Linked DNA regions of Rhinolophus ferrumequinum. The protein of the gene in region 2 purifies or fractionates together with the protein of the main gene of each other region. This does not show direct contact. Links are inferred from orthologs where the notes say so. Each region holds a gene or a part of one and is shown on either strand. Other genes may lie near its edges.

Region 1 (10,297 bases), on a different chromosome or scaffold from region 2:
ATCAGCACCCTGATACAGGGCTTGGGATCTTAATATCCCAATGTTTCCTTATAGATCAATAACCTTATTTTATCTTCTGATCTTCTGTTTTGCCGCCTTTGCTGTCTGAGGATCAGCCTTTTCTTAAGATGCCAAACAATGGGAAAATACTTTCTAACCACTTCTCCCGAGACGACCAGAGTAATGATCGTAGAGTATCAGAGGTGTTTTGTGAAATGATAATTATGAGGGCAGCCAAAAAGAGAGTTCCGAGTGTGATGACAGAGCAGTTAAGAGCCAGGGTTCTGGACGGGGACTTTGGGTTCAAATGTTGACCCCACCCTTGATTACTTATACATTTTCCTCAAGCCGCTGACCTTACCCTTCCCAGGGACATAGTAACAGTAACTACCTCTCATCACATTCTACATATTTTAAGTTACTTAATGTGTGTATTTAGCACAAATACACACAAAACAGTGCACACGTGTTGGCTGTGAGCATAAAGCAGACCGAGATTCAGAAACACAAAATCACAGAAACGTAAGAACGGAGAGCATGCAGCGGTAGGCATCTGATAGCCCTCACCAGAAGCCTGTCAACTATGTCCGCTTCTCCCTTCTCCCTGCCCTCCCCGTCCCCTTCCCCATCACCCTCACAAATGATGTGGGCACAGGCAGCCAGCTAAGAGGGGTGACCCAACCTCTAGCAAGGTCGTTTGTGGAAGGCAGGTGAGTAGAAAAGGGAATGGCAATAGAATTAAGTGGGGCATTCAAATGTCGCTAAGGATACTAAGGTGATGAAGGAAAAAGGAAAGTGAAAGCTTGGGGAAACCATTTGGCCACGTGCATTCAGGACAATTAAAACTTTCACATTGTTTCTCTCAATAATGACATTTCTTAGAATTCAACTGGAGGAAATAATCAAAAAAGGGAAAATTACATGACACAAGATGTAGACCAAAAGGGGTCCTAAGGAAAGTAACCTCAGGTGACCTGATCACCAATTCCCAACTGAGAGGGTCCGGTGGGGAGTCAGGCCCCAGGCCTATCACCTGTTTAGTGAGAGGTTTGAAGCCGGCCGTGTCCGTTGTTCTTGGGCATCTAGGATCACACACCTTTGAGATGCCAGAAGTCATAACCGCGAAGGCCTGACCACCCTCAAGAGAGCACCTGACAGTAAGTATCCTGTCATCTAATCCCCGCCTTGCCTTCTCCCACCTCCATGTAATCTTCCTTACATTCCCTCCTTAATTTCAAATGCATAAAAGAAACTGCAAAACCGTCATTCTCTGGAGCATTTGAGATCTTGCTTCCTGGCACCTGTTGTCAGTTTGGGCTCAAATAAAGTCTTATACACGTTCTCTACAGGTTTGAACGTTCTTACATCGACACTTATTATGCGGACCAACTGGCTTTTGCCCAATTTCATTCTATTACTATATTAAGTATAGACTGAAATTCTTCTGATCCCACCTACATTTTCCAGTATGCAAGGAAACTGCTGGAAACAAAATAACAACGTCTCCTCCCTCTCTCCATTCCCACTTCCTCATTTATACAACCATAGCCTTCCCTCTTCTCTATCCACCTGGGACAGAGACTCATGATGACTTGTCCCACTATACACCCACACACCCCTCCTTTCCCCTGTCCTCCTCTTCCTTCTGTCTCTTTCTCTCTCTCTCTCTCACACACACACCCACACACACACACACACACACACACACTCACACACTCATGCTCACACATCGTCTGCTGCCGCAATCCCGGCTATGCGGCACGCCTGTCCCTGGGATTAGATTTGTGCCCCGTTATCTTCCGCTCCCCTCCGTTTGTCCACTGGTGACTCTGAAGGCACTCAGCACAGCCTTGTCTGTCCTTCTCTGAGTTGCAAGGACAAAGTGTGCCTCCAGCCACTCTGCACCTCCCAGCACTCGCCTCACCCAGAATTTACTGCCCGATCCGCAACTGAAAAGAGTGGGTCCTGGCTCTCCTGTGTGTGGTGAGGCCAGGCGAAATGGTAGCCTTCTAATCAAAGCATTTAGCTATGCTTAGTGAGCACCTACTATGTGTCTGTCAGGACTTGAGTTAGTTGCAGGGATTCAGAGATGATTGAAACTAATCACTCACCATGAGAAGCTCACGGGGGGGAAAAGGTGCATACACCGAAAATTACTATACGTACAGGTAAAGCGACAGAGGTAGGTGGTTATACTGTGGAGACAGCCTCCACAGCAGGCTTTGCCTCCAAGGTGGTTTCCGAAGAATCGAGAGTTCACCTGGCCAAGCAGCATACACACAAACTCGTCTTTCAGGTCTGCAGAAAACAAGGAGTTCATGGAAAACGCACCAAGGCAACAGAAGCAGCACGCACTATTCATTCCAGGCCCAAAGCAGTTTACAGTATGCAAAGCACTGTGTGACTTACAGACATTAAACAAACCAAAGTCTCCGCCCCTAGGCACAAAACAGATTCCCTGAACGTAAAGGCGAACTCTCAGCACACACCGGATTGAGAATAAGGAAAGGGGAATTGAACTCTGGCCCGAAGTACAAAGATCGCTGGGGGTGGGAAGGAGGCGCCTCTCATTAAGGCACTGCGGGGGGTGGATGGAGGGAAGAAAAAGCCAGGTGCGGCGGTAGGTCAGCCGCACCGAGAAACGGGAAGAATGAGCCGGGGCAGGAACTGAGGGATTGGGGCAGAAAAGAGGGTGGGGCCAGTGGGCTCCACCTCCTCCCCTCCTCGGACTCCCCCCACAACCCACTTTCTGCGGAGTCTGGTCCAGACAGTTGTGGGAGGAACTCCTAAGGCCGGTGAGAGGGGCGGGAGGGTCCTGGGATTGGGGCTGGGGTGGAGGGAGGGCTGGCCCCTCTGCAGAGTCTGTGAGTCCTTGCTATTCAGAGTTCAGGGAACTCCTGACAGGCTGGTATTGGAATACAGCTGCCTTGGTGCTGCTGCTGTGTTGCAAAGGAAAGAAAAGGCTTCTCCCTACCAACCTCCCAGCCCCTACGCAACTCCAGGGAACCGCGGTAACTCCAGGCAGGAAACTAGAAATCTGTCTTTACTGCGTTAGGGCCAGAAGAGGATGGGAGACCCTGGCAGAGGTGGGGGGTGTAAAGAGATCAGGAGTTATCTGGGCCACTGTCACCGCCCTAGGCCTTTGTCTGTAAGGTTCTCTCTCACTTAGTTGTGTCCCTGTGGCTGTGGTGGGCCTCTGCGCATTTTCTCCCTCCAACTGGAGCATGGGTTGACAGGAGGAAATAGGAAGGTGGGGTCAGACAGGGTGAGTGGTGCTTCCTCCCTCCCTACTCACCCCAACAGGGTCATACTGAGGGTCTCTGACTGGGAAGCTAGGGGGTGGAGTCCAGCAAGAGCAGTAACAGAGAAAGGGCAGGGCCTGCCCCATCACCTGGATTCCAGGGGTGCCAGTGAACCCCAAAGCCCCAGAGCCCACCCAGGACTGGATCCTGGATGGTGTGTGTTGAAAGGCAGAGCTGGAAGGGAGACCACAGGGAAGAAGGAGAAAGGAAGGCAGGACTGTGACCCAGTCAACTGGCATGAGGGCTGGGAGTCAGAACTCCTGGGCTGGTTTCCTGGCTAGTCCACATATACGAATACTCGGGGACAACAGTGGGATCCTAAAAAGAATTACTGGCCTGGAGAGGACCCTGCTGCTCATTTATCTGATTTGAAACCCAATCATCTGACTTAAAATCCAGAAAGGTGTCTAATATGGTTACTTTGGAATCTGACCCAGCCATGCTGCCAATTGCTAGTTTAGACACAACAGCTGTGTATCTTTTTGCAGGAGCCTGGGGAAGGGCCATGGTGCTCAGCCAGTGGTGGGGAAGACTGGAGAAGCTGTTTCTCTACCTGTGCTGCACCTCCTTCCTCCTGGGGCTGGCTCTGCTGGGCATACAGCCAGACATTGCCCCTGTCGCTTATTTCTTTCTGACCTTGGGTGGCTTCTTCACGTGTGCCTGCCTCCTGGCCTGTTTTCTGAAAAAGGTGTTCCAATCAGTGCAGACGGAGAACCCAGGGGCCTCCGGCAATGCACGGTGAGTTAAGATGTGGGCAGGCTTGCAGGACTTCACGGGGGATCCATGCTCCCCGTGTCCTTCTAGTCTCTTAGGCTCTGCTTTCCTCTGTCACCGGTATCAGCGAGAGGAGGGGTCACGGGCTTGTGGAGGGGTCCTTTGTGGTAGATAGAAAGCGGAAAAAGGACTCCTTTCAGGAAGCCACCAATGACCTTATTTCTCCTCCCTCAGGGACAACGAAGCCTTTGAGGTGCCCACCTATGAAGAGGCCGTGGTGTTAGAATCCCAGTGCCCCCCGCAAGAGTTGGATCAACCACCCCCCTACAGCAGTGTTGAAATCCCCCCAGGACTTGTAGACAGGCAGCCTAGCCATCCAGAGGGACCCAGGACAGACAGACTGGAGAGGCGAGTGGGCTCAGAGGGCTCCATGACCCGGGGAAGCCCTGGAGGAGCTCTCGTCAGCCTGCGGCTTCGGGGACCGCGAGTAGTGTCCACTGCTCCGGATCTGCAGAGCTTGGGGACACTCCCCAAATTGGAGTCGATCCCCAAACTGGAGCCTCTTACTCCACCCCCCGCCTATGATGTCAGCTTTGGTCACCCTGATGATGACAATGTTTTCCATGATGACAACTGGACACCCCCCTAACAGAGTGTCCCAGGATATATCATCTCTCTGCACCAGACCCACTCCTTCATTTGACCAACATTTCCCAATGCCTGCCTGCTCGGTGTCAGGAACCGGACATAACAAATGGGCAATTCAATCCAGAGAGGAGTCAGGCTTATGGTAAGTCCGTCGTAGTTGACAACATTCAGGCAACATTCCGAAACCTACCCCACATCCGATATTTCCGGAGTTAAACTGAGGGTGAGATGAGGTCGTCATGCACCGAATCTGGGGAATGAAGAAGAGAAACAACATTTAAGTGACAGCTCTGTTGCTTCTGTTCCAGGTGCTTTGCCTCTCTATTAGGTCACTTAGGCCTCTCAGCCATGTGAGGTATTATTACCTGCAACTGAAAAATGAGGAGTCCCAGGGTCAGAAAAGTGATTCCTTGCACAGGGGCACAGTACTCGTAAATAGCATAAAAACGATTTGAGCTCTGGCTTTTCTGATCCCAAAGCCCACTGTGTTCTCAGTACAAGGTAGAGGAAGCCAGGCCATCCGCACGTGTCGGTCTCCGTTCTGGACAACTGCTAGTGAGAGGCGGAGACGGAATGGGGGACCCGCTGCGTCTGCAGACAGGGCAGGCTGAGCGTGAAGCGCAAGCTCAGCCTCCTAGAGGAGCAAAGCTAATCAACGCTGTGACGGACCCTGCCCCTGTGGGAACAGTTCCTGCCCATCCAATGGGGGAAGCAGTGGAGCAAAGCTGCCCCAAGGTTAGACCTCCCAGTGTGAGAACGGGCGGAGAGGAGGGTCAGCAGGGATACAACGTGAGCTTCCAGGCAGGCTGGCGGAGTACCTAAGGCGATACTCGTGACTCTCCAATGTGAAGCGCTGGCGCCACTCGCACAGCCTGTCATCGCTTCAGCCTCACCCCTGCACTCTGACCGCTACCAGCTTTCCCCAGCGCGGCCCGCCCCCGTCCCTCCCCCGTCCCTCAACTCCCAACAGAACACCGGATTGGAATCAGGTGCTGCGGTGGTGGTGTAGGTTTCAGCCACCGGGAGCTGCTCAACCACCGCGGACCCACCCCACCCCTCCGGGCTGCGCGCCCCACGCAGGCTCTCAGTCACCGCGCGCGTGTCCGCCGAGCGCCTTCTCGCGCTCTCCGCCTCCTCCTAACCCTTGCCCCAACCGTTCAATAAAATGAAAAGCCCGGCCACACCCGTTTCCGTAACGCCCTTGCAATAGGCCGGGAAGGCGGCGTGGGAGGGGCCGGGAAGCGGGCCGTGATTTCCGCGGGAACCGACCACCAATCGCATTCCCCGCCTAGGACTGGGCGGATCCCCCCGCTGTGCCCGCCTTTTCCTTTTCCGCCGACCGCGCTCTCACCCCATTGGCCCGCGCGTCCGCCGGAAAGCTCTGCGCGCGCGCGCGCCCGCGGGCGACAGTAGGGGCGGGGCAGCCTGGTGTAGGGGTGGTGCTAAGGGCGGTAGGGCGCAGGCGCGTTGTGCTTCGGCGGACGGGGCTGGGATGCCGAGGACGCGGCGGCTGTCGGTGTGTTTGGGTTGTGGGCGGTCCGCTCACAGCCCGGGAAAAGCGAGAAATGGCGACGCCGATCGCAAGCTCCCGGCCCGCCTTCCAGCAAAAGGATCTGATGACCGCTGACAGGGGACGCAGGTGAGTGGCGGAAGGTCCCAGGGGTCCATAGTGGGGCCCAGGGAGGGAGATCGGGGTTCCAAGCGTGTGGCCCTGGCGCCCCCTCCCCTTGAAGAGCCTGGAAGCTCGCGTTTCCTGCCGAGGCCCGGAGGCCGGGATGCGCCCCCAAGGGGCGCCCGGTCGGGCGGGCCTCTTCTCGGCCTTGTCCCTCCTGAGCAAAGGCTGCCCAGCTTCGATTCGTCCAACCCAGGGGGGCTCTTTCCAGTCCTGCCAAATCTCGGCTTCTCTTAAAATTCTCCATCTTTAAGTCTTTAAGAGAATCTTTCCCTTTCTTCCTTTAGGAGGAATTATACTCTAGCCTTAAAAACTGATGAGACCTGCAGACCTGGGAATTCTGCCTGATGTGCATTTGATTTGGATTGAATATATCATGACCGGTAGTGCTTGGGTATAATGACCAGATTTGCAAAGCAGTCAATACAGGCTTTGGGATTTGAGTACTTTGAAAGGACAGGGAGTTTCCCCAGGCACCTAGTGTGTCTCCTTCTCTGCCCCAGTTAAATCTTGTAATGGCAGACATCACCCAGGATGATATATTTAAATGCCTCCTGGTCCAGACCCAGAAGATTAATTTAAGACCTCAGAACTGGAACCTGCATAAGGACAGAGAATCAAGACTGAAGAACTCTCTTTGTGTCCTTTTTCCCCGCCCTTTTTCCCCTTCCAGATGTGCCCTAAAGTTCTAGATGATTGTGTTTACTTTGGAAAGTGCACCTTTGAGTCTCTCCACATAATGTGGAATACAGGAAAGAGCAAGTGTGTGGAGAAGCGATGATGGTTCAGACGAAACCTAAGGAGCTTTTTATTGAATATTCAAATCTGAAACGTGACAGTTAACTGGGAGTCAATTAGTGAATTGTGAGTAGGATAAGATAGACTAGGAACAGGTTCTTTGGGGGTAGGGGGAAGGTTCTCTGGAGGGAAGTGGAATGTAGTGGGCAGAGACCTAAAGAATGGTGTCAAGAGAACCAAGGGAGGAGAAAGTTTTGGGGTTTTTTTTTAGGTTTTTATTCATCAAAAGTTAGCAGCAGACAATATTAAAATAAGTATGGCAAAGCCTTTTACAAATGGCTTTGCACTCGAACTTGGTCCCAAGAAAATGACTGTTGCAACAAACTAAACTTGATAAAGTCTTTTGAAATAACAAGGGAAATACAGTTGAACTAAAAGAAAGCACTGGTTTCTCTTAAAACTAGGTTACAGTTGTTCTTACTACTATACATCAAACAATTGAAAACGAATTACAAAAGTGGAATGTTGTAAGTTTAAAATTAGTCCTTAGATTTTTGTTCTACAAAACATCTGTTCACATCAAAAGGACCGTTCAAAGGGTAACTTTTCGTCAAAGCGAGGGACAAGAAAACAATACACTTTTTTCAAATCAAAACAAGAAGTTTGGTCGTTTAGCTTTGTGCATAATTAAGGCAACTGGGGCGATCTGTTACAGCTTATCTACTGGAAGGAGAAAGTTCTAATGAGAAAAAAATACTCTGGTAAACCAGGGGAAGAAACCGAGCAGGTAAACCTGCTCTGCCTTTGGTATGTATGCTAAGGAAATAGCATCCAGCTGCATGCGATGTTATCTCGTGGTTGGCCTAGTATCACTTCTTTTTACCGGAGTTCACATGTCATCATTATTACTGCTTTGGTCTGTTCTAAGGTGATTTTAAATGGGGTTTTTGATTTCTCTAGATTGTGATGTTGTAGCAGGTTTTCCTGAAGTTTTGGGGTAACAAGAATTAAAATGGACCAGCACTGTTCCAAACCGAAACTTAACCTAAGTTAGCTGCTTCCAATCCTGGGAATGTTTTCCTGATCACTTCCTCTGCTTTAGGATCCCACATGCTGTCTTTTTGGGTCTCTCTCAGCTCTTCCGAGACTCTGCTTTTCTCTCCTCTAACCTAGAGTTAAGCTAAGTACATCCTTAGATGCATGGTGTTTCACTGATTCTAAGATGCACATTTTAGCATCTTTGAAATCAGAATGCATCTTTTGGATAGGTTTTTAAATTATAAACTGAAGCTATTACCATATTCCTTTCTCACTACCATCAGGCCCTTACAGTTGTCATATATTTGGACACTGGCTAAGCAGGCTGGCGAGCTCTGGATTTATATAAACTAGGCACATAGATGATATACATTGGAAATGGGATTCTTTTGGTTCATAAACAGAAATTGATCTCTTTCCAAAGCAATAGCAAAACTAAGGAATCCTTGAAATTAAGACATCCCTAGTAAACTAAATTACCAAAATAATTTATCCTGTATGTGCATTACTTCTAACTGATCTCAAGGGATGGTGATTGTGTTTGTCATTGGTATTTGTCTACTGTGATTTTCTGTCATACTTTCTACTTACCCCGTTCTTACAGGATTCATTATCATTTCTACTGTCATTTTGTCCTATGGCTTTTAAAGTCTTAAAACTTTAAAAGCCATAGTTACAATTGTTATAAGTAGGCTAGACAGAGTATGTGTCTGTGTGTCTGTCTCATTTATTTTCTATTAAAGCTGGCCATTGGTTTGAGTTTTTGCCAGTGTGTCAAATGATTTTATTCCTCACCCAGGATGATGTTAAACTTATATCACTTTCAGCAGCCTAGATAAATAATGTGAAATGTTTTCTGGAGTAGCCTCCTAATTGAAATTCGTCTGTCAGAGGAATGTTTCTTCTCGTGAATACATGTGTGCTTGCTGTGTGTATGTTATCTTTGTCAAGACAGAGATTTCCCTCCTCTAGACAGACCATCTGTCTCAGGTGATGCTCTCAGTTGAACATACTCAGTAAAGAATTACATACATAATTTTCTTAGGGTCAGTGTGTTACTGCTTAATCCTTTGATTTTAACCAGATGCAATAAAATGTACGTGATCTTGGTTATTGTAAGTCCTGTTCTTTCTGTTCTTCCCGCCCACGCCTCTTCCACTCTACTCTTCTGTACCAAATCTTGCACTTCACAGTCTTTCTCTCTGCCTTTTATCTGTAGGATGTTGGGAGTTTGTGGCATGCATCCTGACCATCAGGAAGCTCTAAAAAAGAACCGAGTGGTGCTAGCCAAACAGCTGTTGCTGGGTGAACTCTTAGAACATCTGCTGGAGAAAGACATCATCACCTTGGAAATGAGGGAGCACATTCAGGTATCTCGAGGCAAAAGAGGAAAGCCAAGTAAATTGGCTGTAGAAGTAGGAGCAGAATATGATAAAGTGGGAAAAGGAGGCAGGGCCTTCCTCAGCCAATGGAAATACCCTCCTGCCCCAGAGCGGTTAGCAGAAAACAGATGTGGTTCAAGAATTACAGGAAGGGTGTCACCCGTGCATGTTTTGCCGATAAAGGGAATTCTTGAGATGGATGGTGCCATTTTTAGGAAGCTCATCTGGAGAAATACAATGATAGCTAGATAAGTAAGTATGATTTCATGTTTCGTTCTTGTATCATAGGCCAAAGTGGGCAGTTTCAGCCAGAATGTGGAGCTCCTCAACTTGCTGCCCAAGAGGGGTCCCCAGGCTTTTGATGCCTTCTGTGTGGCCCTGAGAGCGACCAAGCAGGGTCACCTGGAGGATCTGTTGCTCACAACCCTCTCGGGTCTTCAGCATGTACTCCCACCGGTATGGAGCCCAAGACGGGGGTGTGTTGAGAAGGGTTAGTTTGGTGGGAATGGCATTTTTGAGAAGGAGGGTGGGGAGACTAGATTTTTGTTGTATTTGGCCTGGACCATCTCCCTAAGTCCTGGCCTGGGGGTCCTGATTTCTTACAGTTGAGGTGTGACTACGACTTGAGTGTCCCTTTCCCGGTGTGTGAGTCCTGTCCCTCTCACAAGAAGCTCCGCCTGTCTGCAGGTGAGAATTGCTAGGCTAAAATAGGTCCCACAGATTGCTGTCCCTTTCCTTGACTGGTATCTGACTGTCCTAGCGTGATACCCATTTTCTCTCATCTGGGGAACAGTTCCCTCACT
Region 2 (9,951 bases):
TAGCCCATCAGACAACCAGTGAAACTGAGGCTCAGAGATGAATGCCCAAGTTGCTCAGGGGTTAAGGCAGAGCTGAGGCACTGGCTCGAGCAAGAATTGGACGCGACCCACCACGTCTCTTGTGTAACTGAAGAACGCTACCAGTCTTGGCAGCGGGGGACTGGGACTACTGGAGCCACCTCCTGGAGACCACCCACTGCTGCTTCTGAAGCTTTCCTGGGTATCCCCCTGAAGGCTTCACTCCCTGGGAGAGCCCTCAGTCCTTAGGGGCCAGGACCATGCCCAAGAAGGGGCTCCTGTCCCTTCCTGAGACTGCTCAAGGCCTGGCAACACTCAAGACCCACCCACAGGAAGTGTCCCCTGTGTTGTCAACCACGACCTCAGCTCTCCAGGCAGCAGCTGCTCCTCCCTGGGAGCCCCACACCTGCCCAGCACAGAGGACAGGTTCTGACAAAAGGCTCATAGGCGGTTCAAGAGATACGTAAAAAGGGTTTAATTTGCAGGCGCGCAGGACTCTAATCAAACAAGCCAAATCCCATGTCGTCATCCGATTCCTCCGACTCCTCCTTCTTTTCGTCTTTCTTCTCCTCTGCTGAAGGGACAAAGGCTGTGGTGAGTGAGGCCCCATGCAGGCCGGACTCCCAGGGGCCCCAGGGCATGTGCAGCGAGTGCTGCCAGACCTGCACTTACCCGCGGCTGGGGCAGAACCAGCAGCAGGAGCTGCAGCTCCTGGGGCGGCGGAGACGGCCACAGCCCCGCCGGCAGGGACACTGGCCAGCTTGCCAATCCCTACGGAAACCAGAGAAGGGAGGTGAGACAGGAGCAGCTGCTCAGCCTGCCTGATGTATTGGGCCTGTCACCAAGTGCCAGTGTCACAGGCTCCCGTTCTCCCAGACAGGAGGTTCTGCCACACACCCCTCCCAGAATTCCCTCTCTGGGAACCTGGCTTCTAGGAAGCAGTCCACAAGCAGCACAACAGCCCACCCTGGAGTCAGTTTGCACAATCATGTTTATAACGAGGCAGGGACCGAGTCTGCTGTCCCAGTGTCCAGACACTCGTCCACAGCAGTGAGCTCAGGCTGTCTGCCGAGCTGGCTTTGGCCCTAGCCTGTCACATGCCCAAGGACAGGAAAGGCTGCTCCAACAGCTCAACTCCCAAACAAGTCCCATAAACTCCAGCCTGATGTCACCAGAAAACAATCTGCCCAGGAGAGGGGGGCCGGAGCCCGTGGTCATCCCTGACACACCCCAATCTCTGTGCCCAACCCCCTCAGAGAGCACATGGTGACACTTGTTTACAAAGGCCCAATTCCCCAAACACTTTGCGCAGGGCAGCCAGGCCCAGGGACAGCAAGGGCGCCCCCTAGCGACCTGCACCCAGAGTGTCTAGAAGTTCCCATGGCACGAGCCCACTGAAGCTGTGCTCACTGCTCTGGTGAGACTTCTAGGGTGCTCTGGTCCACAAGCGAAGCCTGACAGGCCACAGGCTGGCCGGCAGGGATTAGGATGGACCATGCAAAGGAAAGCGCCCTGCACAACCTCACCCTGGGCGATGACGTCTTCAATGTTCTTTCCGTTCAGCTCACTAATGACCTAAAATAGAAAACCACAACCAGCAGTTACCAGACCCGACCTGAACTTCACCGTGTGCAGCCCCGGGGACACGACGCGAGCAAATGTGTCCTGAAGCTCCTAGGCCCTCTGCTGTTCAGCACACTAGCTCTTACCCGCGTACGTCTTCCCAACTGAGAGTCGCTACAAATGGAAACTGGCACCACATTTCTAGAACTCACCACTGGAAAAAAGATGCATGATACCTAAGCTTATGCCCACTGCATGTCAAAACGTTTTGAATAAGGTAGGTGAAAGAGAATGGCTTTAAGACACTTTCCCCTTCACATTTAAAGAAAACGCATCATCAACAATTTTAAATTATGTGAAACTTACATTACGTTTCTACCGAGCCGCTTTGCCTCACACCCTCCTTGTAGCTGTATCAGAGCCCCCGAAAAGCAACCCAATAAATAACCACATGGGCTGCCACGGGCCTCCCTCAAACCACTCTCCCAACGGTAAAACTCGGGATGGGTAGAAGAGGGGGCCGGCCCCTACGTGCAGAGCATCCGTCGGCCCGGGCCCAGGGGGCCCCTACCTTGTTGAGCCGGTCGTCGTCCGCCTCGATGCCCACGCTGTCCAGGATTTTCTTGATGTCCTTGGCGCTGGGGGAGGTATTGCCCCCGAGGGCGGCCAGCAGGTAGGAGGCAACGTAACGCATCCTGAGGCCGGAAAAAAGGACCATGGGGTTACCCGGAGGCCTCCCGTTCCCACCCCGGCCCGAGCGTGGCCGCGCGGGGCCCGGCTCGGGGATCCCCACGAGGCCCGCCCCGCGCCCTGCTCCGTGCTCCGCCTGCCCCCTAGGGCCCGCGCTCGGCCCGCGGCCTAGCCCGGCTGCCCCACTCACTCGGCGACGGCGGAGAAGCCTCACGCGTGCGACCTCAGCAGCGTCCGGAAGGGAAAGGAAGGCGCCGGCGCGGGGGGCGGGGGTAATCGGCTACCCAGAAGCCTCCGGGACCCGTACGCCGTGCCCTGTGAAGGGCGCCTCCGAGTGACGTCACGAGGCGCTCGGTCAATGACGACGCCGGGGAGTCCGTTGTCCCGTCCAGTCACGCAGCCGCCACAGCAAAGGCGAAGGGAGTGCCGGGGCTACTTTCTTGTGTAGTGTAGGGCGAGTGTCACCCTAAATCCCTGGGGCGGCGGTATAAAGCGGGGCGCGAACCCGAACTAGAGTGTGTCTCCCTTCAGGGCTCCCTGCGTGCCGCGCAAGGCCTACAGCCCCAACATGCAGCTCAGCCGCCACGCCCAGGACGCATCCCTTTGCGGAAGCGGCCGACGCAGCCGGCGAACTACTAGTCCCACAGTGCACCGCTGCCGGAAGCGCGGTTGTGCTGACACACGTGGGCCCCACGGAGGATGCGCGGGTTCGGCCCCTGAGCTTCCGGCTCTCGGGAGGCTGTCGGCCGTGTTGGTGGTGTTCATACCCAGTGGGACCCAGTGAGGTTGGCGAGCCGCTCGTCGCACTAACCCCGCCGTACCGAGCCGCCTGGGCCCTAGTGGCTGATCCCCTGCGGTGTTCTGGCCATGTCGGCTCAAAACTAACCTGTGCACGTGGTCATCAGCACTGGCCACTCATTCACTCCGTGTTAGGGATCCTGTCGCAGGCCTGCGTCCTGAGATGGAGTAGGCCCGGCCCTGCTTTCTCGCCTCGCAACTTACATTGTAGTGCGACAAACAAAATAAATACACGAGGCTGCCCCAGGCTGACATGGACCCTGAAGGGATAAGGCGGTGACACAGCTGTAAGATGAGAAGGACCTGGCCTGGCGAAGATCTGGGAGGAGCACCAGGCAGAGGGGTCAGATGCAAAGGCCAGAGGTGGCTGATAATGGGTCCGGAGGAAGCAGCCAGTCCGTGAACAACAAAGCGAGCCCCGAGTGTAGTGCCTCAAGCATTGGTGTGTTAGGTGTGTTAACGCAAACCACACAGTCGCCCTAGGCGTCCTGAGGAGGGCAGGCCCAGAAAGGTTTTTATTGCTCAAGGCCACACAGCTGAGGTCAAGTGAGGGAAACATCCTGGTAAGGATGGCACTTCATTGAAGTCAATAGGGAAGTGGCATGATGTGATTGATGGTTTGGGTTTTTAAGTGGAAAACAATATAAAATTTACCATTGTTGGGGTGACCGGTTAGCTCAGTTGGTTAGAGCGCCGTGCTGATAATACCAAGGTAGTGGGTTCGATCCCCACAGGGGCCACTGTGAGCTGCGCCCTCCTTAAAAATAATAATAAAATTTAAAAAATAAGATTTGAGTCATAAAAAAATGCAGTACTTTAAAATTTACCTTAAGGGGGACGGGGGGCTCTAGAAGACGGTAAACAGGGTCTAATATGTGGTGATGGGAAGAGAACTGACTCTGGGTGGTGAACACACAATGTGATATATAAATAATGTACTACAGAATTGTACACCTGAAATCTATGTAACTTTACTAACATTGTCACCCCAATAAACTTAAAAAAAATAAAAAATAAAATAAATTTACCATTGTAATAACTCAGGGATATTAGGGGCATTCACACTGTTGTGCCACCATCCCCACCATCCATGTCCAGGACTTTTTCATCATCCCAAACTGAACTCCATACCTAGTGAACAATAACTCCGGTTCCCAGCCCCTGGGGCCCATCATTTTCTGTTTCTGAATTTAACTCCTCAAAGGACCTCATATAAGCAGAATCATACAGGATTTGTCCTTCTGTGTCTGGCTTATTTGACTGAACACGATGTCCAAGTTTCATCCATGTTGTAGCAAGTGTCAGAATTTCATTCCTTTTTAAGGCTGAATAACATTCCTGTGATTGGGTTTTTAAAAGATACTTCTGAGTAGCTGAGAAAATATGCTATCGATGTCAGCAGAAAATAATTTTTTGTATGAAAATGCAATTTAGATTTCTACCGGGGGTGCCAAAAAAAGTAGATACATTTTAAGAGATGTTATTTATGTACTACTTTTCGAAGTTGAATTGAATTACCGTAGTAATGTGTAGTATGACGTTCGCTCAAAAGATGGCATTCAAAGGAATGCTAGCATCACCATGCGACAAGCAGGACAGTCAAAGAAAATGGCAGAACGGTTGTGGTTCGAGGAGCGCAAGACCATGAAGACGTGAGGTGCGGTTGAGTTCCCCCCTTGATGAGAATTTGCCAGAACAATGGATAGGACAAAAAAGTGCGGTTGAGTTTCCCCATGTTCTCCTGACTTAACACCCCTTAGCTCCTGCCTGTGGGGGACTTTGAAGGATGTGGTGTACCGTAGAAAACCCACTACACTGGCGGTACGCCGGGGAGAAATTGAAGCGGCACGCACAATGATACGAGTGGACACTTTGGGACACTTTGGTCAACGTTGCTCAAGCAGCAGTTCACCATAATCAGAAGTGTCTGGACGCTGATGGGAACCACTTTGAGCACCTCTTGTCATTGCAGAAGTCAAACGTGACTTGTATTCATCTTTTATTATCGGTATATATTGAGTATTACAATTTTAATAGTTTTTTTTTCTTTCTTAAAATGTGTATACACTTTTTTGGCACCCTCTGTATATGGTTTTGTTATCCCAGAGGCATGTGTTTATTAGTTTCATTTGACGTTTGATAATTCATATTGGAAGGGACAATTAAACTGGAGACACTTTTATTTTATTAATTTATGTACAATACACATAATCATTGTCACCTGAAAAGAAAAAAAAGATTCTTCTGGCAACTATTAGGAAACAATGGGGGGAAGGCGGGAGCTGGGGAGGTGGAGGAAAGAAGGTGCACACGATGTAATTTGGGGCAGAACAGGCAGAACTGGATGTGTTCATCATTTACAGAGCACCTACTCTGTGGGGTGAATAAGCACAGGTGGGGAAGAGTCGGACAGACCAGGTTTGAGGTCCTAGGCTTTGGCTCTCACCAGCTGTGTGGCGTTGGGCAAAACAGCCTCCTTTTACCCCCTTGTGAGATGCAGACAAACATTGAAGAAAGCAGCAGGTGGGGAAGCCTACTGCTGGAGCACCGGCCCAGAGTGACTGCCCATGAAGTAGGGTCATTGGAGCTGGCGTCGGGTCTCTGCAGAGCCTGAGAGCATGTTGGGCCTGGCAGCGGAAGGACGCACTTTCAGAACTCTGGCTTCTGGCAGGGGCTGGGCGTGAAGCAGCAGCAGCTGCGATCAGCCTCCAGAACCCCGATCCGCCAGACCTCTGAAAAGGCGGGTTTCGTGGCGCGAACCTGGGTCTCCCCCGTCGAGTGGGCTGGCCACCACAGACCGAGGCGGGCTAACAGGAGGGGGCGGGCAGCTGAACAGGCTGCGGGGCAGATGGGGTTGGCGTCCGCGTCTCCAGGGTGCAGGCCAGCAGAGGGCAGGCGGAGTCGGGAGAGACCCTGAGGCCTTGGCCCGCTGACCCCAGGCGGGAGCAACGGGCGCTTTCTGACGGGGCGGGGACCGGAGGGGGTGGCGACCGAGTCCCAGCCCGCCCGGAAACGCGCCAGCGGGAACCCAGGCGCGCAGCGCGCACGGACCCGGCACCTGGGACCGCGCCGGCTGGAGCGCAGGTACGCTCCGTCCGCGGGGGCCGTGGGGACGGCGAGGTGGGGGGGACGGCGCGCTCTCGTGGTCGGGCCGGCCCCCAGGCCGCGGGAGCCCCGGATGCGCTGTGCAGCGCCCTCCCCTGCCAACCGAGGTATGAACTGGAAGCAGCGGGAGAGCCCTCCTCCAGGGGTCTGGAAGCGGGGTCCAATCCGTAGGACCCGGAAGCCGCCCGGTGACTCAGACCTCAGGTCCCCTCCCTCACATTCACTTCTTTGACATAACTGGTCACAATCACCCATTGCCTGGGCCACCTCCCCCTTGTGGTAGATGAGAGTCCGGACCTCCTATCAAAGCTGCTGAGTGTGAAGGTTGGAGGTGGGGCTGCACTCAGGACTCTTATCCCGGGAGTGGGGGCTGAGAGGGAGAGAACGGCAGGATGACCCGACAGCTCTATGGGACCTTTGTCCAAATTTCCAGAATTAGTGAAATTTGAAGCCTCCCTGTCCCCAGCAGATCCCCCAGGCTCCCCTGCACACAGGGCTCGCCCTGCCTGCTGCCCTCCCAGCCCTGGGGTCCCATCCTCCAGCCCCATTTCAGCAGTGATCCAATGGTCTGTCCAGCCTCGGCTCTGAGATCTGTGGACCAGCTAGCGGGGCCCAGAGATCTCCCCCTAACCAGAGTCCCTTCCTGGGAGGAGGGTCCAGCCTCACTCCTGCCCACTCCTCACCCTGACTGCAGCCTCCCTGGGCCCTGCCTGAGCAGGCCTGCCTGGCAAGCTGGGACATGTCTGGCCCCCGAGGACGGCTGGGGGGCGATGGCTGCAGTGGAGGAGGGGCTGGAACCCCAGTTGGCTGCTGCAGAAGATGCTGCAAAAGATGCTGCAGACACTGTGGATGCGTGGCCCGCGGCACCTCCTCTCCTGGCTGGGAACCGGCTGAGCCTGGACCTGTACCCTGGGGGCTGCCAGCGGCTGCTGCACCTGTGTGCCCAGCAGACCCCTCAGTTGCTGGAGGTGGAGTTCCTGCAGCTGAGTGGCCACGAGGACCCTCAGCTGCTGGAAGCCACCCTGGCCCGGGTGCCGTGGAGCCTGCCACACCTCCGCTCCCTGGTCCTCAAAGGTGAGCCCCTTGTGGTCCTAGCCCTGTCCCAGCCCTATTTCTAGCTCCTGCTTCTGCCTCTCGGTCCTCAAAGGCAAATCCCGGTTCCAGCCCGACCACTGTTTCCCACACAGCACTGCCCAGCCCTCCTCCCCCAATGTGATGCTCCCCCAATGTGTTGTTATCCAGCCCTCCTCCCCCAATGTGCAGCTGCCCAGTGCGTTCTCCCAGCAGACCCAGTGTGCATGTTTTTCCTGGGGGTCCTGGGTGATGGCTGTAGCTGGGATGAGCCTGCGGTCTCAGATGCCACCTTGATCCATCCCCTGCAGCTATGTGTCTCTGTCTGGGTGGGGTGGGACTGCGGGTTTGTACCTCCCTCCGCAGCTCTTTCTCTGGGGACAGGGCCAAGCTAGGAACTGGGACTGGGCCACATCTGCCTCCCCTTCCCAGGTGGGCAACGCCGGGATGCTTTGGGTGCCTGCCTCCGGGGCTCCCTGACCACACTGCCCGCCATACTGAGTGGCCTAGCACGCTTGGCCCACCTGGATCTGAGCTTCAACAGCCTAGAGACACTGCCGGCCTGCGTCCCGCGGATGCGTGGCCTGGGTGCCCTGCTACTCTCTCACAACCACCTCTCAGAGCTGCCTGAGGCCCTGGGGGCCCTTCCCACCCTCACCTTCCTTGCCGTGACCCACAACCGCCTGCAAGCGCTGCCCACAGCACTGGGGGCCCTGTCCACCCTGCAGCGCCTCGATCTCTCGGAGAACCTCCTGGACAGTGTGCCCCCCGAGATCGGAGGCCTGAGCAGCCTCGCTGAGCTCAGTCTGGCCTCCAACCGGCTGCAGAGCCTCCCGGATTCCCTTGGTGAGTACCAGTATCTCCCTCCTTGGCGCACAGGGCCTGCTGGGGAGTCCCTCAGCCAGTGTCCAGCCTCTGCTCTCATGTGGGCCCTCGTCCTCCACGGGGCCCACCTTTGAGCCTTTGCTCCTCCCAGTGGTCTTGTTTGCCCCCCACCCCCACTGCCCTGGCCTCGGAGGCTCCCTGTGCAGGCTAGCCGAACTCTGTGTCTGGCCATGGGGCAACAACCACAAGGGCTTCCAGGGAGGCCCTAGCACCCTGGCGCTCTGGGCCTGGGTGGCACTGACTGGCCCTCCGCTTGCCCTAAGCCAGCGCCGGCCCACAGCGGGGCTGCGCTCCTTGCGCCTCCTTGTTCTGCATAGCAACCTTCTGGCCTCTGTGCCCGCCGGCCTGGCCCGCCTCCCACTGCTCACCCGGCTGGACCTGAGGGACAACCAGCTTCGGGACGTGCCCCCAGAGCTGCTGGACGCCCCCTTTGTGCGCCTGCAGGGGAACCCTCTGGGCAAGGCCCTGCCAGACTCCCACAGTCCCCCAGGTAGGCTTGTCGCTGGGGAGGGCAGATCACCAACAGGACACAGGTACCGTCACTATCCTAACAATCTCTCTGTCCTTCCACAGGGACACCCATGGTCCCAGAAATGCCCAGACTGTTCCTGACCTCAGATTTGGACAGGTATGGGGTGGGGGAGGGGTGGGGCTGGAGGAACAGCTAGCCACCCTGTCCACGTGCTCGGGGGTCTTCTCCTTGAGTCCCCAGGGGTGCCAGGCTCAGACATACATGCCCCTGTGTGTCTGACCTGATGCCCATCCTGTCCTCACTCAGCTTCCCCGTGACCCCCCAAGGCTGCTCTGTGACCCTGGCCTGCGGTGTCCGCCTGCAGTTTCCTGCTGGTGCCACTACTACCTCTGTCACCATCCGCTATCGACAGTGGCAGCCGGAGCCGCGCCTCGTCCCCCTGGGTCCCCATGACTCCTTGCTCAGTGGTGTCTTGGAACTGCAGCCCCATGGGGTGGCCTTCCAGCAGGCACGGCCAGGGCAGGTTGGGGGCAGGTGAGGAGGGCCAGGCATGGCCCTGGCACTCACAGCACCCTTGTGTGGCAGGAGGTAGGCCTGTGGCTGCTCTTCGTGCCCCCACGGTCCCGGCGTTGCCGTGAGGTGGTGGTGAGGACTCTGAGTGACGACAGCTGGAGTGACCTGGAGACCCACCTGGAGGAAGAGGCGCCGAAGGTGAGGGAGGTGCAGGGTGGCCTAGGAAGGAGCCCTGGGCAGGAGCTGTGTCCGGACCCTCTGACCCTGTTCCCTCTGACCCTTCCGCCGTGCCCAGCGGCTCTGGGCTCACTGCCAGGTACCCCACTTCTCATGGTTCCTTGTGGTTTCACGCCCTGTGTCCAACGCTTGCCTGGTGCCACCAGAGGGGACATTGCTGTTCTCCTCGGGGCATCCTGGGGTCAAGGTCACATTTCCCCCTGGAGCCACAGAGGAGCCTCGTCACGTCCGCATGCAAGTAAGGGCAGGGCAGCTGCCAAGGGTGGCGAGTGGTTCTCCGGCACAAAAGCATGAGTTCAGGCGGCCTGTCTGCCCAGGTGGTGCGCATGGCGGCCAGGGAGCTGCAGGCCCTGTTGCAGGAGCCGGAGGCAGCTGTGAGCCCCCTGCTGTGCCTCTCCCAGAGTGGCCCTTCCAGCTTCCTCCAGCCAATCACCGTGCAGCTGCCTCTGCCCCCTGGCATCACAGGTAAGAGGTGGCCATGTGGCATAGGACACTCGTGGCCATGGGGTGGGGGCAGTGCTCGGAAGGGGAGCCCCTGCTCTGGAGGCCTCAGCCATCCCCTCCATCCCTAGGCCTGAGCCTGGACCGCTCCCGCCTGC

Evidence for each region. The genes of interacting proteins can lie anywhere in the genome.
Region 1: the proteins of PIDD1 (region 2) and CASP2 purify together in Homo sapiens (affinity purification with western blotting; 5 studies listed by BioGRID and IntAct, with this or other methods). This does not show direct contact. The link is inferred for Rhinolophus ferrumequinum from reciprocal best matches to the Homo sapiens genes PIDD1 and CASP2.

The regions. Positions count from the first base shown.
Region 1 is NC_046309.1:7,697,742-7,708,038, reverse strand, and holds the start of CASP2 (caspase-2), read left to right. Parts: upstream 1-6,129; 5' UTR 6,130-6,229; coding exon 6,230-6,303; intron 6,304-9,331; coding exon 9,332-9,482; intron 9,483-9,782; coding exon 9,783-9,950; intron 9,951-10,099; coding exon 10,100-10,181; intron 10,182-10,297. Other genes in the region: TMEM139 (transmembrane protein 139), read left to right, coding at 3,715-4,040, 4,251-4,665. UniProt on the Homo sapiens protein: Is a regulator of the cascade of caspases responsible for apoptosis execution. Might function by either activating some proteins required for cell death or inactivating proteins necessary for cell survival.
Region 2 is NC_046294.1:480,964-490,914, reverse strand, and holds the start of PIDD1 (p53-induced death domain-containing protein 1), read left to right. Parts: upstream 1-5,429; 5' UTR 5,430-6,281; intron 6,282-6,868; 5' UTR 6,869-6,944; coding exon 6,945-7,248; intron 7,249-7,677; coding exon 7,678-8,091; intron 8,092-8,410; coding exon 8,411-8,620; intron 8,621-8,703; coding exon 8,704-8,758; intron 8,759-8,908; coding exon 8,909-9,110; intron 9,111-9,187; coding exon 9,188-9,313; intron 9,314-9,410; coding exon 9,411-9,590; intron 9,591-9,669; coding exon 9,670-9,817; intron 9,818-9,924; coding exon 9,925-9,951. Other genes in the region: RPLP2 (60S acidic ribosomal protein P2), read right to left, coding at 516-592, 691-789, 1,545-1,593, 2,153-2,275. UniProt on the Homo sapiens protein: Component of the DNA damage/stress response pathway that functions downstream of p53/TP53 and can either promote cell survival or apoptosis.